Elephas maximus indicus: one gene and its partners. The protein of the gene in region 2 purifies or fractionates together with the protein of the main gene of each other region. This does not show direct contact. Links are inferred from orthologs where the notes say so. Each region holds a gene or a part of one and is shown on either strand. Other genes may lie near its edges. The genes, in order: RALY, DHX9, ELAVL1 and NCBP1.

Region 1 (7,525 bases), on a different chromosome or scaffold from region 2:
GGTTGGGAGTGACTCTGGGGCAAGTGGGGTGAACATCTATTACTTAAACTGCTCAGAACCATGAATTCTGTCTTAGTTTGCTGGTGCTGCCATAACAGAAATAGCACAAGTGGGTGGCTTTAAAGAACAGAAGTTTATTTTCTCACCCTTCAGGAGTCTAGAAGTCTGCATTCAGGGTATTGGCTCTAGGGGAAGGCTCTTTGTTAGCTCTGGGGGAAGATCCTTGTCTCTTTCAGCATTCCTTGGTTCCTTAGCAATTGTCACATGACATCTGCAATGGACAGAATCGTGTTCCCCCAAAAATGTGTTGTAAATCCTAACCCCTATACACTTGGAGGAGCCCTGGTGACGCCGTGGTTGTTAAGAGTGTAACTGCTAACCGAAAGTTCTACAGGGTTGCTATGAATTGGAATTGACTTGACAGCAATGGGTTTTTTTTTTTTTTTTTTTTTTTTAATACGTGGATATAATCCCATCTGGGAATAGGGTTTTCTCTGTTATGTTAATGAGGCCATATAAGTGTAGGGTGTGTCTGAAGCAAATCATTTTTGAGATGTAAAAGGAGCTGTTTCAGCGAGAAGCGAACAAGAGCAAATAGAGGGGAAGATTCATGCCACGTGAAAATCACCAAGGAACGTAAGCTGAAAAGAGACAAGGACCTTCCCTCCAGAGCCGACAGAGATAGAAGGCCTTCCCCTAGAACCAGAAAACTGAACTTGGACTTCTCTAGCCTCCTAAACTGTGAGAAAATAAATTTCTGTTCATTAAAGCCACCAACTCGTGGTATTTCTGTTACAGCAGCTCTAAGAAACTAAGACAACAACTATCTTTCCCTTTCTGTACTTGCTTGTGTGTCTGCTGCTAACATAACTCAAAAGCGATATGCCTAAGGTTCTGTATGGTCAGTGGCAAAAGGCACGGAGGAATACCTGCCTCCCGGGCTAATGCACTTTCTGGTGGGAACAGCACTACCTCCTTCCTGCCTGCCTGATTGGGAACCCTCTCTTGGCCCCTCCCTGACTGGGGTGAGGAGTAGCCAGCCCTCCTAGCATTGTCCCAAGTCCAGTATTACAGTATAGCCAGAGTTTAGTGCATCAGTTTCCCTATCTGTAAAATGGGACCTGGAATAGAATGGTAATTCTCAAACCATGTTCTGTAATTTGTGGAGGGACCACTGCATAAGGAGGGTGGTTCGTGGCTGGGTGGGGAGACTAGCAAACAGGACTCTGGGTTCCTTTCCCTCACTTCATGCAGAGCCGCCCCCTACCCCAATCTGTTTTATGCATCGCCTTTCTGAGAAAGGTCTTGCTTAAAAGAAGGCTCTATAGCTTTAAAGAGTTTAAGAACCCCTGGATAAGGTGTCTTTGAGGACCTTTTCAGTTCTAATAGCTCATGATTTTACAAGTTACAGAAAAAAAGAATAGCTTTCATGATGATATGACTGCTATTTTGAGTGTCTGCTCCTATGTCAGGCACTATGCTAAGTGCTTTACATATACTTGTAAAAAAAAATTCCTTACAACACTGGGATGTAGGGAATTAATCATCCCCGTTTGGCAGATAATGAAACTGGGACTCCAGAGTAAAGTAATTTGCTCAGGATCACACAGCTGGTAGGTAGTGTAGTAGTAGAGAGGGCTTTAACCCAAACTGACTAGAAGGACAAACTACCAACTCGGGCAGAATCCAGGTTGGAGATATGTCCTTTGGCCTGCACAGTGCTTTTTTACTTCTTAAATTTGAATGAGTTGCCCACATTAAAAAAACCAAGCAATTTCATATTAAAAAAAATGGATTTAGGGGTTTTTTGTTTGTTTGTTTTTAAGAAAAGTGGAAGATCTAGTAATACCGGGAGCCAGTCTTCCCACATGGCAACAACTGTTTGGGGCTGAGTAGCAACTGCCTCCTTTAGGAGGGGCACGAACTCCCCCACTTGCCACAGCCCTCACTATACCCCACTACTTACACCTTGCCCACTTGTCTCATTTTTTTTTTATACTGGCCCTTTAGGCATTTGAGTTTACAACCCCTGCCCTAATGACAAGTCTGTGTCTTCAATGGCTTTCTCCATCTAGATCCCTCTGCTTCCATCTGCTCTTTTTCTAGCTCCTGCTGCTTCTCCCCTATTACCTCTCTCTCATTTGCCCCTTCCTCTTTATTCACCTGCCTTCATTCTTTGTCTCATTTGAAGACACCTGTTGGATCCCTTCATTCTTTCCCCCATCCCCTCAAACCCATCTTCCTAATCTCAGCACAGGTATCTCTACAAACATCATTGTCAAATCTCTGAAGGGGGATGTGGACCATTTAGAGGGAGCTCAGAGGGCAGAATTAATTCCAATGGCAGGGAAATTAAGTGGTTGAATGCACGCCTCAGAGAGCCCTGGGTTCAAATTTGAATTCCTTCACCTATCATGTGTGGGACATTGGTCATGTCACATTTTCTTATTGTGAAATGGGGACAAAAACAAAACCAACCTTGTAGAATTGTTTAGAGGGTTAAACTTAATGTTTTAAGTCTGGCACAGAGTAGGGGAGACAGACAAAAACATGTAGAAAGACAAATAAGAGACATAACTTTGAGATGCAATAAATGCCATGAGGAGAAGGAACAAGAGGCCAAATGAGAGAACATAGATGGGGAGTTCAGGCAAGGCCTGAGGTGATATTTAAGCAGAGATCTGAAGTATAAGAAAGAGCCGAAAGTTAGAAGAGGTGGGGGAAGAACGTTCCAGACCTTGCTCTCAGTATCCCCATCTCTCTAGTTTGATTACTTTTCCTTCTGGGAACAGAAGTCATCAAATAACACAATAAATTATAACTGCTGGTCTGGCAGAGCCAGGCTCTCCATTCAAACCGCTCTGAGAAGGAAATTCTGTTTCTCGGCAACAGGAAGGCAGGTTTTGAGGGGAGAGATGTGAAAAATACAATCAGGAAATCATAGGCCAGGTTGGAGGAGGCACAGATTTGTCTGGCCAGTTTTTAGCCTTGAGGAAAGTCTATAGCCGATGACGGAAGGACACTGGTCCTCTTGTGCTCTCAGAAGACCCTTCTGACTGTTCCGTGGAGGCTGGAACACTAATCCAGGTGAGGAGGGATCCCGACAGAAGAAATGTTTGAGAGAACCACCACCCAGATCATATTATAAAACATTTCTTGCACCCCAGAAGGATAAAAAACAAAACGAAACACACAAACCAAACCTTTAGCTAAGTCAATTCAGGCTCATGGTGATCCCATCTGTTACAGAGTAGAGCTGTCCCATAGGGTTTTCTATGGAAGCAGGTCACCAGGCCTTTCTTCTACAACACTGCTGGGTGGGTCTGAACTAACAACCTTCAGTTAGTAGTCTAGCGCAAACCGTGTGCACCACCTATGGACCTCCTAAAAGGGCAACCCACTGAAAAAAAGACCCCACCGCCGTGGAGTTGATTCCAGCTCATAACCACCCTCTAGGACAGAGTTGAACTGCCCCATAGGGTTTCCAAGGCTGTAAATCTTTAGGAAGCAGACCGTCATATCTTTCTCCCGCGGGACGGCTGGTGGGTTAAAGGGACTTGAATTTAATCTTCCAAGGTGGGGGTGGTACCTCATTCCCAGACCCACCCTCACCGCAGCCTCTCCGCCCAGTCCTGGCCTACACAGCGAGGGGTAGTCTTTACTTAGTCCAAACACGTGGTTCCTTGTAAGTGTAGAAAAACCTGATGCTTCTCGATTTCATCTCTCCCGGATCCCTTGAGCATCACCCCCGACCCACCGGTTTAGGCCCATCTTCAGGCCCCGCCCACCTCAAGCACCACCCCCTTGGTCCTCCTTTAGGTCTCACCTCCTTCCGGCTCCTCCCCAGAGTGGGCTCTATTGGCCCCTCTCCTTCCTGCTCTGCTTCCGGGCCCGCCTCCAGTCCCGCTTCAAGGCTTCCTCTCTTCGGGCTTTCTCTTCAGCCCCGCCCCCGGCCTCCTCCCCTTCTAAGGGCCCCGCCTCTTTCCAGCCCCGCCATAGCCTCCCTCCACCCTCACTCCTCCTCTGGAGACGGTCTCCCTTTGCCCCGCCCACAGCTCCTTCTTTCAAGCACTGTCCTGGCTCCCGGCTCTCCGAGGCCTTCACTACCTGCCTTGACGCTTCTCCAGTTAGGGCATCACCACCCTCTTAGCCCCGCCCCGCCACCGGCTCCGTACTGGTTTAAGCGAATCCTCCTTCCCTCTCCTAGCCCCGCCTCTTCAGGCTCCCACCTCATTCCCTCCTCCCTGTCAGGCTCCGCCCTGAGCCCTCCTTCCTTTTCTCCCCGCCAAAGCTCTGGACCTTTCCAAAGCCCGGCTGAGCGGGTGGGGAGAGCACAGGCGCTGGGAGAGTCGGGCTGTGTCGGGGCGGGGCTGCGGACTCCACGTGCGAGTGTCATTCATTCCCTTCCCAGGAGACACAGGCGGGGAAAGGGAGGGTCCAGGGCCGGGGCCGGAGCGGCGGGCGGGGCCACGCTGAGGGAAACCTCTTTGGGCGCCCCCACCAGCGCGCGCCTCAGTGGTGCCGGCCGAAGGAAGGACTTGCAGCTGCGGGGCCAGCGCCACTGTCAGTGCGGCGGGGCGCGCGAGCGGTGCGGGCGCAGGGCGGGCTGAGGCGAGAGAAGCTGAGGGGGCGGTAGCGGCGGCGACTCTCGTGCCTGTGCTCAGCCTCCTCACGCCGCCTTCCTTTCTCCCTCCCTCCCTTCCTCCCCCGAGTGCGGCGGCACCGCCTCCTTCCGCGCCGCGCGGCTTCCTCCAGGGCTCTCGGCGCGGGTGAGTGGGGGCCGCGGGCGTCTTCTCGGGGGTGCGGGAGGGGGATTCCTCGCTCCTTCTCGGTCGCCCTCCTCTTCTGGCCGGCCGCTCTCTATTTTTAGAAACTCTTTTTCCGACAATCCAGGGAGTCCCGAGAGCCCGAGGAACTCCAGGCCCCCTTTGCCCGCACCTCCCCCGGCCGGGGCCCGCCGCCCCGGGCCGCCCTCCCTCGCCCGCTCCGGGCCGCCCGGGCGTTCCCTGCCCGCCTCCTCCCCGCGGGCCGGGTCTGGGCCGGGAGTTGGCGGGGTGGGCCCGCGCCCGCTCGGAAGTTGGAGTCTTTTGTGCTCGCGCCCCGCCCCTCCCGGCGACGGGCGGAGGGAGAGGAGCCGAGGCCGCGCCGGAGAGGCCTTGGGCGGGTTCGGCCCTGGCTCTGGCCCTGGCCTCCGGCTTTTTCCGGCTTCCCTTCCCGGGCTGGGCGTGCGGGCTCCCGGAGGCGCAAAAAACTGGTCCTGCTTCGCTCCCCACGGGTCTGAGCGCCTCGGCACCCACCTCTGCTGGTTGCCTGTCTCGGGCTTGGAGGGGAACAACAACGGGCCCTCGACCTGGGGCCATGCAGCCCCCTCGAGGCCGAGCCACAGTTTGCCCCTCCGTGAAATAGGGGAAAAAATGAATCTCGCATCGCAGGTTGTTTTGGGGAGTAGGGGGAACGGATATATGAGGGAAGTGTTTAATACCAACAGGTAACATTTAACGAGACTTGACCAGTGCCAGGCCCCTTGCCAGGCATAAATTTTACTTCATTTAAGGCCCACAAGTCTTTTGGGGTTGCCCCATTTTACAGAAGCAGAATTCAAAGTGTAGAGAACTTAAGTAGAAATAATTTGCTCCAAACTACCCAGTTAGTAGCTACGGAAATGTAAGGCAATGGTGCTGATACCTGTTATTTATTTCCTGGTATGAGCTTGTGTAATCCCGTAGTGCAGAGGGGATTATGACCGGGTCAAACTATTAGAAGCATAACTGGGTTTTCCCCGAGTCCTGGGCCAGTGTCCTATACTATAAAAAATAGGCATGAAATCCCATTCTGGGACTACCAGAAACTCCGTGGGAAAGGTCAGGATGAATTTCTTGCTCGTGTTGCAGCTAGAAGTTGGTGGATACAGGAGATTCCAGACCTCAAGCATAACTGAAGTTGCTGGGGCTTCGCCTCAAGGAAGGCTTACATCTTTATAAATAATGAGGTCCGTCCTTTATTTTGTCGATGGTATGCTCCTTCACCATTGTCTTCCCTCCTCCCCCTAACCTTGCACATTCTCTATATAGCATTTAATGGATTTTAGTTGAGGGGAGCAGGGAGTGGAGGCTTAAGTCATCCGCTTCAACTCCTAGCCTTCAAGCAGGGTTTTATTTTCAGATAAGGCCCAGAGGGGTTAAAGTGAACTAAAATTAACTTTGGGAAGTGCTGAAGTTTTCCAGTATGTTTGATTCTGGGTGTTGGGAGTCTGAAAATCAGGCAGGAGAGTTCCGGGGCCAGGTCTGTAGGAGTCTTTTAGAAGAGAGTTTTATCCTGATGTTCCCATTGGTCCTTTGGAGTCTGATGGGTCGGCAGTGCTCTCCCTCAGAGGTTCTGAATTTAGGAGTCATGGTATGTAGGAGCTGGAGGCGTTCTCACAGACCATCTTGTCCAACTTTCTGATCTGCCTTTTCCCCCTTCCCTAGTGACTGAACCTTGGGAAGGGGAAGTAAGTTGTCTAAATTCACAGATGGCCTTAGTGACAGAATCAGAACTAGAATTCCCAGTCCAGTCATTTTTATTTATACTATACCGTGCCGCCTATGAGAGGGCTTGAAACCAGTAATCAGGCCTGAAGTAAATGGAAATCCCAAGGAAGTTGTGTAGTCCTAGCCACTCTCCATTGCTTCAGGTTGAACATTAAAAGGAGGCCAGGTTTTGTACACAGGTGTACCAGTTCTTATAAGTGGCTGCTTTTATTTTTATAGGACTTCTATGGTTTATAGCACTCTTCTGTAACCATTATCTGATTTATAATCCATTTCTGTGAGAGGATTCACAGAGCTTTGTTTATATCATCTTTTTAGTATAAGGAAATTGAGACTTGGCAAGGTTAGGCCACTTGCCTTAAGTTACAGAGTTAACAAGTGATGGAGGCAGGACATGTCTCCTGGGCAGTGGATTTGATGTGGCATCATGAACTGAGCCACTCATCATGGCTGTCAGCTCACAGGGGGTTATGAGCAAATGGCTGTGAAAGTGCTTTGTACTAGTAGTAATAACAGCTAATATTTGTTAAGCACTTACCATGTATCAGGCATTGTACTAAGGACTTTCTGTGGAGTATCTCATTTAGTTCTCAGAGTGATAGTATGAATTAGATACTATTATTATCCCTGTTCTACAGAAGAAGAAACAGGCTTAGAGTTACACGATTTGCTCAGGGCCATGTTAATTGCCAACTGGCAGAGCCAGGGTTCTAACTGCAGACAGTATAACTTCAAAGCTGGCACTCTTAGTACTTCCCTTAACCACAGGGTGCTCTGTAAATTCAAACTGATTATTAGTCCTCGTCTGCAGCATGTAGCACACAGCCCCAGAGAGCAGGTACCCAGGCCTGGTTGTACCTCTGGTTAAACTTCTTCCCTTTTTCCCCCACTTTGTGGACTGAAGCTCCTTATCACTAAAGCCTTTTTTTGGAGATATCTGCTGGCCTCTTTTGTGTCTTCAGAAGAGACCTCCTACCCTTGGAAGTACAGCCGGA
Region 2 (7,820 bases):
CATCACCATCAAGTCGATACCAACTCATAGTGACCCATAGGACAGAGTACCTAACCTAACCTAGTGCCGTCGAGTCGATTCCGACTCATAGCAACCCTACAGGACAGAGTAGAACTGCCCCATAGAGTTTCCAAGGAGCGCCTGGCGGATTTGAACCACTGACCCTTTGGTTAGCAGCCATAGCACTTAACCACTATGCCACCAGGGTTTCCAGTACACATAGGACAGAGTAGAACTGCCCAATGCCGTTTCCAAGGAGTGTCTGGTGGATTCGAACTGCTGACCTTTTGGTTAGCAACCATAGCCCTTAACCATGACCTTACACCTTCAAACCAAGAAACCAGATTCCATGAGGTTTTGGTTGTACATAAGCAGCCTCAGCAATTGCTCCTTTTGATGCTGTTGTTGGAAACATATCTATCACATAGTTTTTGCCAATTCAGCTTTTTACAGGTGTATAGCTTATTGACAGCAATTACATTAATTGCCTGTGCAGCCGTAGTCTTAATCAATGTGATTTTTCCGTCACAGTAATACGGTTCCTTGTTTAATGCTTCTGTTCTACTTCCTAGTTCGTTGAGTATGCCTGGGGTCTTAAAAGTTTACAAGTGGCTGCCATCCAAGGTACAATTGGTCTCTATTTGCCTAGAGCAACAGAGGAAGATGGAAGTTCAGGAATAGGAGGAAGAAATGGAAAGTGTGACCAATTGTTTTCATGAACAACTGCCTCCTTTGCCATGAGACCAGAAGAACTAGATGGTGCCCAGCTACCATTACTGAATGTTTTGTTCAAAGATTCTATAGAAAAATCCTGATCAAAAGGGAGGAAATGCAGAACAGAATTTAAAATTTTCATGGAATCTAGTCTTTCTGGAGCCATAAAGGCTGGATGAACCCCTGAAACTGTTACCCTGAGATAATCTTTAAACCTTAAACCAAAAATAACCACTGAAGTCTTAAAACCAAACAATAGTTTAGCTTAACTAGTGAAGGATGTCTGCCTTGACCATTCTGTTCTTTTAAGACCTCTATGGGATTAAATTGACAACAACTGCTCAAAAGATTAGGAAATTTAGGGAGTAGTAATTTTAGGTTAATGGGGGAGGAACCACTCAGAAAAGGAGGGTAAGAATGGTTGTGCAACTCAAAGAATGTAATCAATGTCACTGAATTGTACATGTAGAAACTGTTGAATTGGTATATGCTTTGCTGTGTATATTCTCAACAAAAAAAACATTAAAAAAACAAAGGACTTGCCCTAAAAATTTATGTGTTTTAATGGAATATTTAAAAATATAAGGCTATATTGATTCTTCAACCAACTCAACATCATCAGAGCTACATCTTCATCCTTGGGGAGAAAGCAGAGGCTTGCCCATGTATCCTTGAATAAGCTTTCCCACCTTTTAAAGTATTTTTGATTAAATATTTAACATGTATAAAAGAATATCACATGTGTAAGGTGTAAAGACTAATATTTATCACATATGTGAAAGTGCCTGGTGGCACAGTGGTTAAGAGTTACAGCTGCTAACTAAAAGGTTGGTAGTACAAATCCACCAGCAGCTCCTTGGAAACCCTATGGGACAGTTCTCCTCTGCCCTGTAGGGTCCCTGAGAGTCAGAATCAACTCGATGGCAATGGGTTTGGTTTTTTTGGTATATGTGAGGGTGTAAAATATTCATTTGTTATAATTACTTTATAAGGAGCCCTTGTAGCACAATGGTTGAGCTCTTGGCTGCTAACCAAAAAGTTGGTGGTTCAAACCTACCTGTGGCTCAGTGAGAGAAACTCAATGGGGCAGTTCTCCTGAAACCTATAGGGTGGCTATGAGCTGGAGTCAACTCAATGGCACACAACAAGAAGAATTACTTTATGGTGTAGTACTGATATTTCATCAAATCTAAGATGCTATTGATTGTAAAACACCGTTATTTTACATACCTCTAAGAAAGGAAAAAACACTGACAAAGCATAACATGCCATCTAATTCCAGAGATACAAAAATGTTTTTGAGGTTTTAGAAGTGATAACGATATAGCATCTTTCCATTTTTAAAATGAGGTAACCATGACAAAGAGAGGTTAAATATCTTGAGTGGAGTTACATATGGTCTGTGGCAGAGCCAGAATTTGGAGCTTAACTGAGTGACACCAGACTATTTTACATCAAGAATCTCAAAACCTTATGTCCACTTACTATGTGTCTTTAACAATACCTCTTAGCCAATGTTATCCTTAAGATATAAACCCAGGGACCTCCTGATACAAAGAATCAGCTTCAGTATGGTACAAGGTGGCAAACAGTATAAAATGGTTGTATGGGAGGTAGAATTGCTTCATGGTTGTAAGTATGGCCTTAGATCCAGGCTGAGGGAATGTAAGGCCCAGCGCCACCACTTATCAGCTGTGTCTAAATTATACTTCAATAAAAAAAAACTAGATGGTCCAGGATTAACGAAATGAATTATTGAGTGAGTTCCTTCAGCTTGGCCTGTGTATAGTTGAAAGCTCTATGTGCAGAACAGTCCCCATGTCACCACCAACACTTGACGTTGTTCACTTTTCTAATTTTAGTTTTTAATGGGCAGGTTGTGATATTGTTTTAGTTGCATTTTTATTGTTACTGATGTTTTTGACCACCTTGAGTACACTTGGTAACCTTTTGGTTTTCCTCTTCTGAAAATTGCTTGTTCATGCCTCCTGAGGTTTAGTCAGCATCAGGTCCTCAAGCAGTTCCTCTTGGTTTGATCAGCCTCCACTCACTGGCCTCAGGCCTCTTTGGAACCAGGACCAAACACTGAATTGTTAGTGCAAGGGATAAACTACGCCTTGCATCTACCAAACTTAGGAATGAAGTCAATGTTTCTAAACTTATTTCTAGCCAGAAAGGTAAATGTGAAATGTTAAGTGGTCCAGTTGAAACAGACCTCTCATTATTTGACCTGTGGCCTCAGTTCCAAACTCTTAGGTAGCAAGAACGTTACTTATTTTCTTATAAGCTAAAAAAAAAAAAAAATTCCTACCCTGCTTTGCTAATCTCTGCAGTCTCCTAGATAGAACATCTAAGTGTAAATCCAGCCACTCTCTGGACTTCTGGGCCAGTTGAGTGCTTTCAGGTTTCATCTGCAAATGAAGATCTTAGAAGGTGCCAGTTGCCAGGGCAACCTACAATGGTAATGCCAGTTATGGGATCCAGTCCCTGGGGAGCTCTGGGTCTCAGGTGCAAAGCCTAAACTAAGAACCAAGTCAATAACAAAATTCTCCTTAATCCCTGAAAGTTAAAGATCCACTTCTGAAAATTTTATTTGCACTTAATGAAATATGTTGGCACTTTTGCTGTGTTCATTATCTACTACAAAACACTTGCAATCCATCTATGCTTGTTGATTCCTTATTAAGAGCATAAATAAGTATCAATAACACCTGCAGCTTAAGCACGCTGAAGGATACAAAAGAAAGAAAAGATTAAGGTCTTTCAATGATTTGATTCTCAATTCACATAAGGAAAATAAAAGGATGAATAAATGCTAAACTGTATTGTTCTGATTGTAAGTGCAAGAGAGTTTTAAAGAAGGAATTGATCACTATAAACTAGAAGGGTTAAGAGAAAAAATGTCATGAAAGAGGTGAAAAATAAGGATGGATAGGTATGATGCTCTCGTATTATTGATTGGTCTGTAGTCTCCAGAACAACCCCAGCAAAAAAAAAAAAAAATACTTTGTATTGTTGCCTTCATGAGTGGTGTAATGGTTAAGAGTCTTGGCTGTTAGCCAAAAGGTTGGCAATTTGAATCCACAGCTGCTCTTTGGAAACTTTATGGGGCAGTTCTACCCTGTCCTATAGGGTCTCTGTGAATGGAATCCACTCCACAGCAATGGGCCTTTTTTTTTTTTTTTTTTTGTATCTAGTCAAGAGGAGCCCTGGTGGTGAAGTGGTTAAAGCAGTTGGCTGCTAACCAAAAAGGTCGATGGTTTGAACCCACCTGCTGGCCGCTCAGCGGGAGAAAGATGGGGCAGGCAGTTGGCTTCCGTAAAGATTTAAAATCTTGGAAATCCCTTGGGGCATTTCTACTCTGCCCTATAGTGTCGCTATGAGTCAGAATCTACTGATGGCAGTGGGTTGGTTTGGGTTTTATGTAGTTAAGGATATAAATTATTCTAACGACTGTAAAGACAAGAGGATATTCAATTTAAGCCGTGTTGGTTTTATTCATTTGGGTCGTATGAATGAAGGTCCCAGCTTTCATAGAGCTTATTTCCTTCTCAGGGGATGTTCACATTCAGAGTATCTGAATCACTAGTAACTTTCATTACCATTTATTGAGCCCCTATTTTTTATACGTATGTGCCAGGTACTGAGTTAAGCCTCGTCCTTTGTCTTCTTATTTAATCACTACAGTCCAATGAAATAAACACTAAAATTTCCAGTTCTGTCTAAGAAGGGCGTCTCTCTCACCAGAGGCCCTTATCACATAAACTGGGAAACATCTTGTTGCATTAAAAAGCTAAACACCTCCCGCCGTCCCCTCCCTAAAATATTCAAAAGCATTAAAACTAGCAGCTATGCAATGGCGCCCTAAGCGCAGCAAGCTCCCAGGCGGTAAGATGAACGCCGCGCGAGGCTGCAGCAGGCCCGCCCCGCCCCCACCCGGGCGTCCCGCCCCGCCCCCACCCGGGCGTCCCGCCCCGCCCCCACCCGGGCGTCCCGCCCCGCCCCCACCCGGGCGTCCCGCCCCGCCCCCACCCGGGCGTCCCGCCCCCACGCTCGCCCTCTGCGCATGCGTGCGTGCACTAACCCCGCCCCTCTCGCGACGGTCGGAGCCATTTCGCCGCCGTCTCCATGCTGGTTGGGGTGCGCTCTGCAGGCGTCTCTGTGGAAGGCCGGAGTTACGGGCAGCCCTAAGCGCGCTGTGCTCTCGGGCACCAGAAGGCGAAGACTGGTAAGGAGAAGATACACTTCCCATCCTTTCCACTCTGCGGGGCGGCTGGCCCAGAGGCCCTGCGGCACTGCAGCCTGGCTTTGTTGCGTAGCGCGGGTGGCGGCGGCGGGTGGGGGAAGGGACGAACGGCCCTGCGAGTCCCCGGATTGCGGATTGTGTGCGCTGCTCGCTGAGGCGCGCTTGCGCAGTTCGAGGCCGCGCTGTGGGCCGCTAGTCCTCCGCCCAGCTCTCCCTTCAGCCTCTAACGCGCAACCCCCGCTTCCTCCATCAGCCTTCGAACGCCGGTGGTGGCGCTGTGCCGCTAAGGGAGAGGGGGGTGACTTGTCTACTTCTTAGCCGGCGGAGACCCCAGGCAAGGCCTAGCGCCATTCATTCGTGCCGCAAATATTCGTTGCTATCCTACAGGCACTCTCATGGAGCAGTAAGCAAGTTAGAATCCTTGCCTTTCCCTCGAGAGGTTGCGGGGAGGGGCAGGCGATACAAAAATGAGTATTTGCAGGCTTTTGTAAAAAATAGTAATCAGAGTGTAAAGGCAGAGAGCTGCTTGAGATAGTGTGGCAGGGAAATGGGTCTCGGACGAAGTGGACTTTTGAGCTGATAACTGAAGGCCGAGAATGCGTCATCGAGATGCGGAGGCAAAGCAGAGCTGCAGAAGGGATTAGTTAGCCGTAAAGCCAGAAATTGGAAAGGGGCTGAAAAAAGAAAGGCCACGTAACTGGAGTGTGGCGAGAAGGATTTAAGAATAGATTTTAGCAACACTGGAAAAGGAAGCCATTTTAAGACTCTATTGCAGTACTCTGGGTGTGCAATCGTGCTGGCAGGGAAAGATGGAGAGAAGCGAATGGGTTGGAGACATTTTGGAGGCAGAATTGCATAACGGTGGCAGATGGCACATCTGGAGTCAGACTGCCAACCTTGCTTGGTATTCTGGCTGCTCCAATTACTAGTTGTGTTTTCTAGGGTAAGTTATCCTTTGTGTTAGTGTCTTCGCCTGTAAAAGGGGAATAATGATTAAAAAAAAAATCCCATTGGGAAGTCGATTCCGACGCTTAGAGACCCGAAGAACTGCCCCATAGCGTTTCCAAAGAGCACCTGGTGAATTTGAACTGCCGACCTTTTGGTTAGCAGCCGAGCTCTTAACCACCGTGCCACCAAGGTTCTAGAGCTGTTTTTTAAAAAAAACATTGCCCTTGAGTCGATTCCGACTCGTAGCAGTAGCAGTTCTGTAGGATTATATAAATTCATGAAGATGATCCTCTAAGATACTGTGGCACATAGTAAGGGCTTTCAAAGGGGTTGCTGTGGATACTCCTGAGGAGTGGATGACTCCTAGATTGTGATGAAAGAGGTGGATGATGGTGCCGTTATGGAAATGGGAAGGAAAGATAGAGACAAGTTTGGGGAGGAAATTTAAAATTCGGTTTTTCCTCTTGGGTTGCAAAGTAAGCATTCAAATGAGTATGTTAATACTGCAGTTGGATGAATTATGGTTTTGGACTGAGCTTTCGGTACATATTTGGGCATCATTAGCATATAGTTGGTATTGAATATCTTGGGGTTAGATGAGACTATCTAGGAAGAAAGGAATTTGGTAGTGTAGTCCTTCTATTTCATGATACCGAGCCACCCTGAGGGCTTGTTTTTTAAATTAATCTCGGGTGGAATGTACAGCTAGGTATATTCAGCTTTTCGAGTAGGGTGGCCCTTCACCAAATGACTGATCAGGATTACCCTGTGGCCACAGAATAAATCTAACCTTACACCAAGGTCTGGTTTGATTACATTAGATTTAGGTGTTAACAGATGTACCAAGCATGAACAGAAGACAGAGGTTTAGTTTAACACTGGTAGTAGAGATTTCTCCTCACAGCAAACAAATCATAGGATATTTTCTCTGGTTCTAAATACAGACTCATATCTTGCTTGTAATTCAGATTCAGGTGCCAATAATCTGGGGTGCAGGGGGAGTGCCAGCAAGTATGATGCTTGTTCCAATGTCTTGATACAATTCAGGAAAACTTCATCATCAAGTAACAAGGCCTGAAGGACACATTTGGTACTCTGCCCCCTTACATTCAGACAACAGACTTTTTTTTTTTTTTTTTAAACAAAGTAATGAGAGGCAACCAGAGGATATTTAGCAATTTATAAGTAATAGCAAGCATTTATGCACTTGGCAAAGGGAAAATTAAAAGGTCGACTGCTCCCTGATAGTGTTCCTTACATTGTTTCCATTGTTAGAGTATGAAAAAGGATTCGTTCAGTTATCTCTCTAATGCGTTAAGCAATTTTTTTTTTTTTTTTAATTTTGATATTTGGTACAAGTATCTTAGGAACAGAAGTGAGTTACGTGGGAGCACTTTGAACATTGGGCTTCAGAAGGATTGAAGTGATGAGGCAATTTTAGAGCTAAGAGTGGACATGAGGGACACTTCGGAGGCATGTAAACATTTACTGAATACTGACTGTATTTGGACTTTATATACATGTACACATACACATATGTGTATCTTACACCCTTGAAGGTAATCTGTTAGCAGTCATATCAGAATGGTAGCAAGCCGTTTGTTTTATATACGATATGATTGATTTCTTAAATATAGTAGTTTGGGTTTGCGTTTAGGACGCCACAGTGGGTGTCTTGGAAAAGTTGCTTGACTTTTCTAAGCCCTAGTTATTTTCTCTGTTTAAAAGCAATTATGGTATTTATATAATAGTGTCTACCCTAGCTATCATTCGTAATGAAAATTGAGTTAAAATACATAAGGTGATTGTTGTAGAAAGTAGAACATTCCATAGAGGTATTTTTTTTTTTTTTTAAAGATACAAAAAAGTCAGTCACCCAAAGGTAGCCATTTTGAAGTGTTTCTTTTCAGTC
Region 3 (7,081 bases), on a different chromosome or scaffold from region 2:
TCTAGGGGTGACAGGTAGTAACTGCACTTCTCTCACCACTGAGCTTTAATTTGATTCAAAAACTGAATGGGGTAGGAACACAAGGAACAGCTGATGCTGGTGGATGGGGGTAAAGGAAGCGTGGGAGTCTGAGGGGGCTTCAAGTCCTGAGTGGGCACTGCGCTGGGCCATGCAGGCAAGAGGAAGAAATATCCAGGAGGAGGAGAGCAGTCAGTGGGAGCAAAAGGCCAACAGGGTCAGAGTTTGGGGTCGGGGCAAATGAGGTCCAAAAGGAAGGGAGGGTTAAAGTGTGAAACACCTGGAATCCCCAGCTCAGGGCTCACGACATTATCTTGTAAGCCACCCAAAGACGTCAAAGCACTTATAATTATGTTTTTCCACCCAATGACTTTTAATTGGGAATGATGTGATCAGACCTATGTTTTAATATGACAACTCCTGCTACAGCGTGGATAGAGCGTGGATGGAATGCAGGAAGATAGATGGTCACAGTGCGAGAAGCAATAAAGCAAGGGTCAGGAAGAAGGCATTTTCATAATTCCCTCTCATATCCCACTTGCTGGTCCCTGACCTCAGACTCAACGTATCTCAACTGAAATTCTGCCCCCGCTCAAGACCAGCCGTCAGCATAAACATTATTTGCTTCCACATTTAGAGATGTTCGTGTGTCTCAGCCTCTTACTGGACCCAAAGGTCGTGAGATTTTATAACGGGTTCCAGCAGAGCTTTGCACACAATTGATGCTCAATGACAACTAAACGCAATTCCTGGAAACCCTGCCTCTAGGGCTCTCATGAACCCTTGTGAATACAGGTAGTCCCGGACTTATGACGTATTAGAGTTACGACAAACTGCACTTACCATCAACAAACTGCACTTACCATTGTCTGTCGTTCTGCTTTTTTTTGCACATATTATTAATGTGTACTACATACAACGTTGCAGCACATAATTTGCTGTTGTTATTCTCAGGTGCACACTTGCAGACATTCAATATTATGATTTACAAGGATACTGATAATAAAAGGCAATAATGATGAAAACTTTTAAAAAAATGAAATATTCGACATACATCGGAACTGACTTACGACAGAGTTGTCAGAACATAACCCCTGTCATAAGTTGGGGACTACCTATACAAGAGCAATGAAACCCTGTGGTTAAGAGTAAGAACTTTTGAGTCAGGGGCCCGAGTTCAAATACTGGTTTGGCCATTTTACTGAGTGAGATTAGTCATATCAAGTGACTCAACTAAGCCTAGGTGCTTTCATTTGTAAAATGGAAATTATAACAGTACCTACCTCACAGGCTGGAGATAAATGTCCACGGAGTCTTAAGCACACAGTACATTCTCAATAAATATCAGCAATTATTTAGAACGTCATTTATTCAGTACCTACCATGCACAGGCCAGGCACAATGCTAGGGGCTTCTCAAACTGTTTTCTCAAATTTGCACAAGAATATTCTTGTCCTTCCCATTTTACAGACAGGGAAACCAAGGCTCTCACAGTTCAGCTTATCCAAGCTCTTGGGAGCCTTGAACACCAGGGCATAAGAGTGAAGGATGGGGTTTGAGGGACTCAGTGGAAGATCATCTAGTCCAGTGGTTCTCATCCTGGGGTGGTTTTGCCCCCATGGGGATTTGGCTATGTCTCGAGGCATTTCTGAGCCTCATAACTGAAAAAGAAGGGAAGGATGTTATTGGCATCTAGTGGGTAGAGGAGACCTGGTGGCACAGTGGTTAAGCACTGGGCTGCTAACCAAAAGGTCGGCGGTTCGAACCCACCAGCCACTCCACCGGAGGAAGATGTGGCAGTCTGCGTCTGTAAAGAATTACAGCCTTGAAAACCCTGTGGGGCAGCTCTACCCTGTCCTATAGGGTCGCTATAAGTCAAAACTGACTCGACGGCAATGGGTTTTTTTTTTGGTGGTTAGTGGGTAGAGGCCAAGAATGCTGCTAAGCATCCTATAATGCACAGGACAGTGTCCCACAAGCAAGAATTATCTGGCCCAAAACGTCAATAGTGCCCTGGTTAAGAAACCCTTCTCTAGTCCCATCATCCTCCCCAGCTTCCCACTTCTTGTAGCATAAGCCATCGGCTCCCACTAGAATACTTTCAGTCAGGGCGACTCTTCCTCCAGGGGCAGTGCAGAAGTTCTTCCTCACCTGTCCTGCACACAGTAGGTACCAGAACCCATTTTAATAAGCCTAGTAGCAGAGGGTACCGGAAAAGGAAGCCAGAGCATCCATGCCCCATTGTTCAAATGCGTGCAGTTTGTGTTTTCAACACACATTTTACAAACCCGAACATCCCACGCCCCATAAACAGCTTTGTTAGAGATGGCGCTCAAAAAATACATTTTCCTGGGACTCCCGTACACACCGAAAGGTTTGCACACTTCAAAAAAGACCCCAGATCGGTCGCTGGCCTCTGACAACGACCACAAAAGAATCTGGAGGATTTCCCGGGGGAGCGAGCTCGGAGGCCGCGGGCGACCTCAGTGCGCAGACCGCGCTCACCCAACTCCCCCGCCTCTGGCTTCACTCTCCCGCCCCCGGATCCCGGGCTCCCAAGGCTGCCGGGCCCCAGGCCCAGCGCTCGGCCCCGGCCGCGGAGCCTGGCCGCCAGGCGCGTGCCCACGCCGTGTACCCCCTCGCCCGCCCCTCGCGGCGGCCGAGGAATCCGGCCCGGGCTCTGTCGCCAGCGCCCACACCGGCCGCCCCCCGCACACCCGCGTCCCGCGCGCGTTCCTTCCCGGCCCGGCGCGGCCTGGGCCTCGGCCGGTGCAGGCCCGCGGACGCCCGGGGCCCGGCCAGGCGAGCTCAGGCCTGCCGCGGCCTACCTCGCGGGGCACCGCGGAAGGCCCCCGCCTCACCTGGGCGCGGGCGGGCAGGCCCGGGGCTTCTCCGGGGCGGGCGGGCGGCGGCGGCGCGGCGCTAACGGCTCCGCTCGGCCTCGGTAGCGGCGGCAGCGGCGGCGGCGACGGCGACGAGGCGGCGGCTCCTCCTCAGCGCGCACGACCCGCTCCGGCCCGCGGCGCGGACACGCCCCCCCGGCGCGTGCACCCATTGGTCAGCTCCAGTCACGGCGCGCTTCCCATTGGCCGGCGCAGCTGTCGCGGCCTCCCAGGCGCGCGGGGAGGCGGAACTTCCGGTCGGCGCCGCCTGCGGAGGGCTCGGCGGCCGGCGGAGACGGGGGCAGTGGAGATGGCCGCGGAGGGGTGAGCTGAGGGTCCAGCCCCGCGAAGACCGGGGCTGGCAGAGAGTGGTGGTGGGTCGAGGAGCGGCGCTCCTTGTCGGGCGTCCATCGTGTGTCCCGCTCCTGTTTACCCCGCTTCCCTGCAAGGTAGGAACGGTCATCGCACCAAAGGGAAAGGGACAGGTCCCGGGTTCGAATCCTGACGCCGCGTTTTCGCGCTACGTGCCGTTGGGCAAGGGCTGACGTCATCTCACCTGGCCTCAGTTTCCTTAGCTGGTGGGGCGAGGAGGCGGGGCCCAGGATGTTGTTAGAGTTCCAGCAGTGTGGGCTGTGAGAGCTAACGGGTTCCCAGAGGCTCCGGCTAACATTCATTCTTTAAGATTTTATTGAGTGCCTAGTATAAGCCAGTCACTGTATGAACTCTCATTAGGCTGACATTCTAGACGATTGCGTCTAGTAGAAATATAAAGGAGCCACAAATGCCAGCCGTTTGTGTAATTTAAATTTTCTAGTAGTAACGGTGGCTCAGTGGTTAATCGCTCGGCTGCTAACTGAAAGGTCAGTGGTTGGAACCCATCAGTTGCACCGTGGAAGAAAGATACGGAAATCTGGTTCCGTAAAGATTTACAGTCTTGGAAATCCTATGGGGCAGTTCTGCTCTGTACTGTAGGGTTGCTGTGAGTTGGAATTGGCTAGAGGGCAGTGGGTTTGGCTTTTGTTTTTCTTATTGGTTTAGTAACCATGTCTGAAAAAGAAAAAGAAACATAGTAATTTTAATAATGTGTTTTCTTTAACCCATTGTGTTGAAAATATTGTTATTTTGATATGTAATCAACATAAGAAATTATGAGGTCTTTTTTTTTCCCACGTTTTCAAAATTTAGTGTGTATTTACATTCACAACACAGCTCAAGTCGGACTGACAACATCTCAAGGGCTCAGCCGCCACATCTTGCTGGTGGCTACCTTTTCGGACCACACAGTGCCAGATGAAGAAACAGAAAAGAAACAAAGAGGGGAAAAGTGGTAAGATAAAAAGTAAATCGGGAAGGGAAATGGGGAATGTCAAGGTTGCAATTTAAAAGAGGGTGGTTGGGAAGGCCTCAGTATGAGAAGATGGCATTTGCAGGAAGACCTGAAAGAGCTGAGGACACTGAACAGATAACTACACTCTTCATTGTTTAGTGCAACACTGTCCAGTAAAGGCTTCTGCGATAATGAGTAGGTCCTATACCTCTGCTGTCCAGTTCTGTAGCCATTTGGTTTTTGGGTGCTTGACATGTGGCCAGTGGCACTGAGGAACTGTTGTATCCCCAGGTCTAAGCGCCTGCACCTGGTGCATTCTGGGTGATTAAAAAGCATTGATGGTCTAGAAGAAACAATACCCCAATAGCAACAAGGACACTTAGAGCCCAGATCTTGGTTTCTAATACCAATTTCCAACTTAAATTGAATTAGTTAATTTTAATTAATTAAAATGTAAATACCCACATAGGACTAGTGTTTCTTGTAGTGTACAGCACCAGTTTAATACAACAGTAGCGAGTACTCTGAAATGGATGCATACTGCATGTTAAAAACTATGTGTGTTGTCATGGATTGAATTATATCTCCCCAAAAATGGGTATCAATTTGGCTGGGCCATGATTCCTGGTATTTTGTGGTTGTCCTCCATTTTGTGATTGTAGTTTTATATTAAAGAGGATTAGGGTGGGATTGTAACATCTGTACTAAAATCACATCCCTGAGCCAATTGTAAAGGGGGTTTCCCTGGGTTGTGGCCTGCACCACCTTTTATCTCTCAAAAAATAAAAGGAAAGGAAAGCAAGCAGAGAGTTGGGGACCTCATACCACCAAGAAAGAAGCATCGGGAGCAGTGTGCTTCCCTTCGACCTGGGGTTCCAGCGAGGAGAAGCTCCTAGTCCAGGGGAAGATTGATGAGAAGGACCTTCCTCCAGAGTTGAAAGAGAGGGAAAGCCTTCCCCTGGAGCTAATGCCCTGAATTTGGACTTCTAACCTATTAGACTGTGAGAAAATTAATTTCTCTTTGTTAAAGCCATCCATTTGTGGTATTTCTGTTATAGCAGCACTAGATGATTCAGACATGTGTTCTCCCCCGTCATCTTTTCAATTGTTATATGAGATGGTAGCTATGATTGTCACCATGATGAAGAATGAAGTCCTTCATTTGTTCATTAATACTTAAAAAATTATCATTAATAATAAAACCCCCAAACCCCTTGTTGTCAAGTCGATTCTGACTCATAGCGACCCTATAGGATGGAGTAGAACTGCCCCATAGGGTTTCCTAGAAACAGCTGGTGGATTCAAACTGCAGACCTTTTGGTTGCAGCCGAGCTCTTAACCACTACATCATCAGCGCTCCATTATTAGTAATAGACTTTATTTTTGTAGGACAGTTTTAGATTTACAGAAAAGTTGAGAATTTATATAGAAAGTTCTTATATACTTTATACCCAGTTTCCTCTATTAGTAACATCTTACCTTAATATGTGTTGAAAGTAATGAGATAATACCAATACATAACTGTTAACTAAAGCCCTAGCTTATTTAGGTTTCTTTAGTTTTTACCTAATGTCCTTTCTCTGTTCCAGGATTCCATCCAGGATCCCATATGACGTTTAATTACCATGTCGCCTTAGATTCCTCTTGGCTGTGGCAGTGCCCATATTTTTGATGACCTTGACAGTTTTGAGGAGTACTGATCAGGTATTTTATAGGAACCTCTCTACTGGAATTTGTCTGATGTTTTTCTAATGATTAAGACTAGGGTTGAGGGCATTGGTAGTTCAGTGGTAGAATTTTTACCTTCCATGCAGTAAACCCAGGCTAGATTCTGGCCAGTGCACGTCATGTGCAGCCACAACCCACAACTCAAGACGATGTGTTGCTGTCTGGCTGCCTTAGTTATCTAGTGCAACTATAACAAATACCACAAGTGGATGGCTTTAACAAACAGAAATTTTTCTCTCACAGTCCAGGAGGCTAGAAGTCCGAATTCAGGGCACCAGCTCTAGGGGAAGACTTTCTCTCTTTGTTGGCTCTGGGGGAAGGTCCTTGTCATCAACCTTCTCCTGGTCTAGAAGCTTCTCAGCACAGGAACCCCAGGTCCAAAGCACATGCTCCACTCCTGGCACTTCTTTCTTGGTGGCATGAGGTTCTTTCCTCTCTGCCCGATTCACTCTTTTATATCTCAGAAGAGCTTGGCTCAAGATACAGCTTAATCTTATAGATTGAGTCCTGCCTCATTAATTTAACTGTCTCTAATCCTGCCTCATTTTTAATCCTGCCTCATTAACATCATAGAGGTAGGAGTTGCAAAACATAGGCTAATCATATCACATAACACAATGGTAGATGGTCATACAATACTAGGAATTTTGGCCTAGCCAAGGTGACACACATTTTGGGGGAATACAATTCCATCCGTAACACTTGCTGAACAGATTTCAGTGGAGCTTCCAGACTAAGATGGACTAGGAAGGAAGGCCTGGCAATCTACTTCTGAAAATCAACCAGTGAAAACCCAGTGAATCACCACGGTCCTATCCACAACTGATCATGGGGATGGCACAGGACTGGGCAGCGTTTTGTACCATTGTGCATGGGGTCGCCATGAGTTGGGGACCAACTTGATATCAGCTAACAGCAGCAATGGGTTATTGGGAGGAAGACCACAGAGGTAAAGTGCCATTGTCATCACATCCTATCAAAAGTACACACTGTCAACATTACTTATGACCACTGGTGTTAACCTTGATCACATAGCTGAAGCATTGTTTGTCAGCTTTTCTCCACTATAAAGTTACTCGATTTTTCCCCCTTTGCATATTGCACACCTTGGAAAGAAGCCACTTTG
Region 4 (6,942 bases), on a different chromosome or scaffold from region 2:
AAACAAGGCAGTCTCTTTGAGTTCAGGCTCCTGAGGGTTTCAATGTAGTAATTTCTCCCCCACAGCACAGTCTCTATCCCCTATACTCAATTCTACTTTTCTTCAAAGCATTCATCACCATATGCTCCATGATATTTTACCTAATCGTTTCTGTCTGTAGCCCTATACAAGAATGGAGGCTCTACCATTATGTTATCTACTGAGGTACTGCCAGTATTTAGAACAGTGCCCAGTACTGTTAAATATTTATTGAATAAATGATTATACCCAGCCGGACACACGGAAAATCAGGGCTATCAGTGGGTGATGAGAGCTGATAATAATCCAGAAATGCTCAGCTATATCCATCTAATTCTGACTTTAGCAATCCCTAGTTTATTTTTAAAATCCCGTTGCATCAAGTCAATTCCGACTCATAGCGACCTTATAGGACAGAGTAGAACTGCTCCATAGAGTTCCTAAGGAGCACCTGATGGATTCAAACTGCTGACCTTTTGGTTAGCAGCCATACCACTTAACCACTACGCCACCAAAATATCCTTCTATAATATTGAAGCTTTTAATATTTGTCATTTAAAAGTATTAGTAGAAGCTTAATTAAAAAAGCATTCAAAATATTTGATTCAGGTCACTGTCTAAGGTAAACTCTAATAATCATTACCCATACTGTAGCAATTTACAAAGTTCCCAATTTGATGTACTATAAGGAGGAACTATAAATTGTCCCTCCATTACTAAATCATCTGCCATAGTGAATTTTGCTTAATTCCTTGTTTTCCTTCTTTTTGTCTGTACTTACTTACTTTGAGGTTCTTGCAGCAAGGTCCAAACGTACAGTCATTTAGTGCCAGCCAATGTTAAAAACAATGTCACTGAATTATACACTCATTTTCCCTCCCTTTTAGGGGTGCCTTAGAAGGGAGAGGGAGAGGAATGGTAGAGAAACACGTAAGAACAAAGAAAATGGGAAGAACAAAAGACTCATGTTCTCTAAACCCTAAGCGATGACTTCAAACATAATACTTTTGGATTAGTCAAATTCTAAGTACACAAAAATTGTAGTTTTTGTGTCCTGTATGTATGTTCCTTGGAAACTCTATGGGGCAGTTCTATTCTGTCCTATAGGGTTGCTATGAGTCGTAATAGACTCGACGGCACTGAGTTGTTGAGATTAGTTTATGCATGTTACACAAGAAGACTCCATGTGTTAAAATCAAAGCATGCAGTACAATAACACCTGTGTAGTAGAGAGAGCCCTGAACTTGCTTTAGCTGGTGTCTGGGCACTTCTTGCTGTGTCTCCATGTTAATTACACTAAGTCTCTGTACCCTTGGGTGTCTGAGGAGGCTGGGCCAGAAAATCCTCTCAAGCCATACCTTAGTAGCAATCTGGTATTTTCAGATTTGTGATTCTGTCCTCACCTCTAACTGCCCCAATATTCAAGAAGAAAATGTACTGAATTAAAAATTTTTGTTCTTTATTTTTTCCTTACGTTGTGGGCATCTGCCACTGCTTATCACCACTTAAGCCTTAACAGATAAAGTAAAAAGAAAAAAAAAAAATCATTACGAGCCATTTGTTTCATGAATTATCTCATTTAACCCTCAGAAAAACCAGAACAGGTAAGCAGCGTTGTTCATATTTTACAGATTAAGAGTGAAAAAAGGTTATATAACTTGGGCAAAACCCCAAAGTAAATCGTGGGGTCTAGCTTGTAACCTATACCCCCAATTCCAAAGCCTGGCCTCTCAACCATTACTCTACACCCTCTTCAGCAAATAATGCACTCAAATATCAATAACAGACTTAATCTTTCATGTCTTTCTGTCTGTGGATGTGTGTTCTTGACTGATTTTCATAATGCTTATGTGAATGTAAGCAACTTTTGCTGTTTTTTTTTACTAGTAAAATTCTTAAGTTTTTACAACGGCCACAACGTGACCCCCATAAGTATAACCACCCAAACGAAGACGGGAACCCCAACTCTAAATCTCTAAGAGCTCTCCTGCTAGTTCTCCGGCATGCCATGGAAATATGTTTATAGTCAGCTTAAAATCTAATGCAATACTATACATCTGCTTATTAGTGAGTAACCTCTTGGGTGAAGACACAAAATCTCTTCTCTCCAGCTCGAAAGAAGGCAAATCAACGGATGTACAGTAGAGGAGTAGAGCTCAGACTGCAATTCACCCGATCTCTCAGTCACTGCTTTGTTCCTTTTCTTCAGTAAAGTCTTGAAAAAGCTATTTTCAGATAAAGCTTTGAGGATCAAAACGAGCGCCTGGTACCAGTGGGTACCGCTCTCTGAGACGGCAGCACAGACATGATGTCGAGGGCCAAATTCTGAAGAGTCCCTATAGACCAGGGGTTCACCAAGCCTCATTCCCCACCATCGGTCGACGACCAAAGGCGCTGCGGCTGGCACGAAGCTTTCCCGAATCCGCCCAGCCACACCCCCGCCCCGCCATCCTCCGTGGCTCCGCGAACGCTCCCGGGAGAGAAGGGCTTGCCGTTCCTTCCCTCGAGACTCGAAAGCCAAGGAAGGCAAACCTCGGCTCCCACCGGAGCGCGCCCTGGCGGCCAGGCTCTAGGCACTCACCATCGTTTTCGTCGCTGTGCCGCCGCCGCGACATGCCGCACGCCGGTGCACTTCAGAACCGAGACGCCGGGCAGGAGGCACGGCAGGAACCGTCCAGCAGCCGGCCGGCGCGAGGACAGCGGCGAGGAGCGCGGACCCACCGGCGCGCAGGCGCAGTCGCTCGCTCCAGCTCCCGAAAACCCAAGGAGGGTCGGCCGAGAGGGTTCGGCGGGCTCGGATCCGGGAGAGACGGCGTCTAGAGGCAAACCAGGAGCCGACGTGTGGTCTGCACGCAACCACCCCCCTCAGCCTTCCTCCGCCTCCCGGCCGCTTCCTCCTCCCGCCAGTCGCTCTATGTCCTTCCGGGGCCACGCACAAACCGCCTCCGCTTCAGCCAGTCAGAGCCCGCCGGCCGCGAGCCAGGCATGTAGGCGGCGGGCGGCTGGGACAGACTCTCTAGTCTCAGCCTCAGCTTCAGCCCCGCCCCCGGGTCCTCTCAATGGTTTTCCCGGCGGCCCTTTCGCTAACGGCCACCAAGACTTCCGGAGCGAGGTGACGTCCGAGCGTTCGTCCCTACGTAAACACACAACCGGGGTTGTAGGTTCCAAGTGCAGTGAGTGACCATTGCTAGGCGGACACAGTTCAGTGAAGAAAGACCCAAGAATAGATCCGACTGGCGGGTACGTGCTCATTTTACCCCCACTTCCCGTCTTGTGCCTCGGGAACGCTGGGCGGACAGATTAGGCCAGGCCCACCGTGCGGGGTGGGGCCGGGATGGGAGCGGAGCCGCACGTGTCGCCCCCTACGATGGGAGGAGCGGCCCTGACGCGAGCCTCCGGTTCCGGGGCTCACCCTCTGGCTGTCATCTTACCTCTCACCTCGACGAGTGGCTGGTTTAAGGACGAACAAGTTGATCGTTCTCAGTATCGTTTTCACTAGCTATTGGCGACTGTGTATGTGTATATGAACATCTCCATCCCTGACGTCTCTCCGAGCACCACACTGGTTTCTCTGACTGCCTCGTCCATGGCCATCTGAAATTTCACAATCGAAAATAGAAGTCTTGTTTCATCCTCCTGGCCTAACCTATTCCTCCTTCAGGCTTACCCATTTCAGAAAATGGCACCATCCATTTACTTAATCCAAAAATGTAGGCTGGAGTCATTCTAGAATTCTCTTTCCTTCACTTCTGCATAACAATCTACCCGTATCTCCTGCTGGCTCTACTTCCAGAACAAATCCAGAATTGGTCCACATTTCTCCACTGCTGCCATTTTTTCTTCATTTGCTGCAAGCGTCATCTCTTGCCCTGATGAATGTCTAACCCGACTGGCCTCCGTGGGTCTTTCCTTGCCTGCAGTCCTTTCCCCCCAGAACAGCCGGAAAGATATTCTTAAAATGTAAATCAGACCATGCTATTTCCTTGTATAAAACTCTCCAGTGACTTTCCACTGCGAATTGCAAACCATGGCGTACACTCTTCTACCTTCTCATCACTGTGCGGCAACCACCCTGGCTTTATTCCCGTTCCTTCAATAAGTCAAGCTTGGCCCCACTTTAGAAATTTACACTCAACTTTTTCTTTTGCCAGAAGGTCTCTGCTCCTAAATCTTTGTGTGGCTAACTTCTTGTTATTTAGGTCTGAGCTCAAACATCAGGCTCTTAGTAAGATCTTCCCTGGCTACCTAATATAAGTTAGCTGTCCCTGCCACGAGATCATGCGTTGCTGTTTTATTTCATTCATTCAGTCATTCAACAAATACTGTATTTAGCACTTACTGTGTGGCAGACGGAAACCCTGGTGGCGTAGTGGTTAAGTGCTACGGCTGCTAACCAAAGGGTCGGCAGTTCAATCTGCCAGGTGCTCCTTGGAAACTCTATGGGGCAGTTCTACTCTGTCCTATAGGGTCACTATGAGTCAGAATCCACTCGAGGGCACTGTATTTTTTTGGGGGGGGGTGTGTGCCAGACATGGCCACAGGGTGGTACAAACAGTAAATGAGCTTGGCTACTAACTGAAAGATTGGAGGTTTGAGTCCACCCAGATGTGCCTTGGAAGAAAGGCCTGGTGATCTCATTCTGAAAAATCAGCTATTTAAAACCGTATGGAGCATAGTTCTACTCTGACACTCATAGGGTTGCCATGTGTTGGAGTCAACTCGATGACATCTATTTGGTTTGGTTTATGTACCAGGGACTGTTCTAGATGCTGAGAATATAGTGGTGAACAAAGGAAAACCTCAGCTCTCTTGGAGCTAAAATTCTAATGACCCATTTACCGTACAGTACCATACCCCTTGCCATCGAGTCGATTCCAACTCATAGCGACCCTATAGGACAGAGTAGAACTGCCCCACAGGGTTTCCAAGGAGCACCTGGTGGATTTGAACCACTGACCTTTTGGTAAGCAGCCATAGCACTTAACCACTACACCACCAGGGTTCCCATGACCCATTTAGGCATGGGCAAAAAGACCAGTGAAGTCTGAATAGGAAGCAAGGGGAGAGTAGTAGAAAATAAGATCAGAGAGGTTGTGGGAGGGAGAAGTATGGCAAAGTCTTTGGACTTTATCTGCAAAAACCGAGAAGCCTTGGAGGGTGATCTTACTTATTTTTTATAGGTATCACACTGGCTGCTACAGTAGGAGGGCATTAGGCTGTTGGAATAATTCAGGCAAGAAATGATGGTGACTTGAACTAGGGTGGTAATGAAGGTGATGAGAAATGGTCTGATCTGTTTATATTTCAAAAGCAACGCTGATAGGATTTTCTGAACAGAATGATTTCTGAATAGGATGATAGTGTGAGAGAATTAAGACTCAAGGATCATCCCAAAGGTTTTTTGCCTGAGTAACAGGAAGAATAGGATTGTCTTTCACTGAGGTGAGGAAGACTGGGAAGAGCAGGTTTGGGTTGGGAGGAGTACATAAAGAGTTCAGTTTTGAACAGTTCCATTTGAAAAACGTGTTAGACATCTAGCTAAAGCTATCCAGTAGACGGTTGAATCTGTGAATTTGGAATTCAAGAGAGAGGTACAGGCTAGAGATAGAAATTTGGGGTCATTCAATATGTAAGCCAAAAAACAAACAGATACAACTCTTGCCATCAAGTTAGTTCTGACTCATAGAGACCTTATGGGACAGAGTAGAACTGCCCAATAGGGTTTCCTTGGAGCGACTGGTGGATTTCAAACTGCAGAACTTTTGGTTAGTAGCCAAGCTCTTCATCAGTACGCCACTAGGGCTCCGATGTGTGGTATACTAAACATAAATTTTTGGTTGTTTCTCTTATTTTTCTTTCTTAGTGGATGTATTTACAGAAGTAGAGAAAATTATATAATGAACCCTCATGTACTCATCATCCAACTTCAGCAGTTATCAACTCAAGGCCAGTCTGGTTTCACCTATGTTAATGTGCTCTTCCCCCCAACCTCCACCATTATTTTGAAGCAAATGTAGTTGTTAAGACTTTGGGACTAGGTGAGATCACCTGGGGAGTGGGCACAGATATGCAAGTTTAACAGTTAAAGGTTGGGATGACTAGGAGGATCCAGCAAAGGAAACTGAGAAGGAGTGGCACTTACCACTATCTGGTATTCACGTTTGTTTATTTTTTAAAATGTTTTATTGTTTTAGGTGAAAGTTTACAGAGAAAAGTATTTTCCCATTCAACAAATCGCATACACAGTGTTCCACACATTGGTTGCAATCCTCGCAGTGTCAACGCTCTCCCCATTTCCGCCCTGGGTTCCCCGTTTCCTTTCATCTGGTTTTCCTACCCCTTCCTGCCCTTTCATCTTTACTTTTGGGGCATATGTTGCCCTGTTGGTCTTGTATAATTGTTTATTCTATGGAGTGTATTCTTTTTGGGTGTTATTGTTTATTTTTTAGGCCTGTCTATTCCTTCGCTGGAAGGTGGTTTCCAGGAATGGCTGCAGTTCCAAGTCAGAGGGGTGTCTTAGGGCCATAGTCTTGGAGGTCTTATGGTTATTTGTATACTTATTTATTGTCCTTTGCCCCTTTCTAAACTATAAAGTCCAAGTGAGTAGAGACTTTGACTTTTTCATTCAGAACTTCATCTCCAGCACATAGCTAGACACGCAGGAGAATGTCCACAAATAATAGTTAAAGTGTATAAATAAATGAAACTAAATTAGGTGGTAACTGAAAGAGATCATTTTGGGGTGGTAGGAAAGGCGTGTGTGAAGATCCTGAACCAGGAGAAAGCAAGGGTTGCTTGTGGAACTAGGCAAAGGTCCAGTGTGGCCGAGCAGAGTATGTGAGGGGGAGTGTTGCCTGAGATGAGCCTAGAAAGGTAGGGTGACTGTTTCAGGCTTTCTGAGGAAGAAGTGGCACTGGGGTGGCA

Evidence for each region.
Region 1: the proteins of DHX9 (region 2) and RALY purify together in Homo sapiens (affinity purification with mass spectrometry; 3 studies listed by BioGRID and IntAct, with this or other methods). This does not show direct contact. The link is inferred for Elephas maximus indicus from reciprocal best matches to the Homo sapiens genes DHX9 and RALY.
Region 3: the proteins of DHX9 (region 2) and ELAVL1 purify together in Homo sapiens (affinity purification with mass spectrometry; 3 studies listed by BioGRID and IntAct, with this or other methods). This does not show direct contact. The link is inferred for Elephas maximus indicus from reciprocal best matches to the Homo sapiens genes DHX9 and ELAVL1.
Region 4: the proteins of DHX9 (region 2) and NCBP1 purify together in Homo sapiens (co-immunoprecipitation; 3 studies listed by BioGRID and IntAct, with this or other methods). This does not show direct contact. The link is inferred for Elephas maximus indicus from reciprocal best matches to the Homo sapiens genes DHX9 and NCBP1.

What each region holds. Positions count from the first base shown.
Region 1 is NC_064843.1:35,559,967-35,567,491, reverse strand, and holds the start of RALY (RNA-binding protein Raly), read left to right. Parts: upstream 1-4,515; 5' UTR 4,516-4,769; intron 4,770-7,525. UniProt on the Homo sapiens protein: RNA-binding protein that acts as a transcriptional cofactor for cholesterol biosynthetic genes in the liver. Binds the lipid-responsive non-coding RNA LeXis and is required for LeXis-mediated effect on cholesterogenesis.
Region 2 is NC_064842.1:46,177,935-46,185,754, forward strand, and holds the start of DHX9 (ATP-dependent RNA helicase A), read left to right. Parts: upstream 1-4,812; 5' UTR 4,813-4,942; intron 4,943-7,820. UniProt on the Homo sapiens protein: Multifunctional ATP-dependent nucleic acid helicase that unwinds DNA and RNA in a 3' to 5' direction and that plays important roles in many processes, such as DNA replication, transcriptional activation, post-transcriptional RNA regulation, mRNA translation and RNA-mediated gene silencing.
Region 3 is NC_064821.1:12,746,023-12,753,103, forward strand, and holds the start of ELAVL1 (ELAV-like protein 1), read right to left. Parts: upstream 3,011-7,081; 5' UTR 2,880-3,010; intron 1-2,879. UniProt on the Homo sapiens protein: RNA-binding protein that binds to the 3'-UTR region of mRNAs and increases their stability.
Region 4 is NC_064827.1:47,538,636-47,545,577, reverse strand, and holds the start of NCBP1 (nuclear cap-binding protein subunit 1), read right to left. Parts: upstream 3,002-6,942; 5' UTR 2,634-3,001; coding exon 2,600-2,633; intron 1-2,599. UniProt on the Homo sapiens protein: Component of the cap-binding complex (CBC), which binds cotranscriptionally to the 5'-cap of pre-mRNAs and is involved in various processes such as pre-mRNA splicing, translation regulation, nonsense-mediated mRNA decay, RNA-mediated gene silencing (RNAi) by microRNAs (miRNAs) and mRNA export.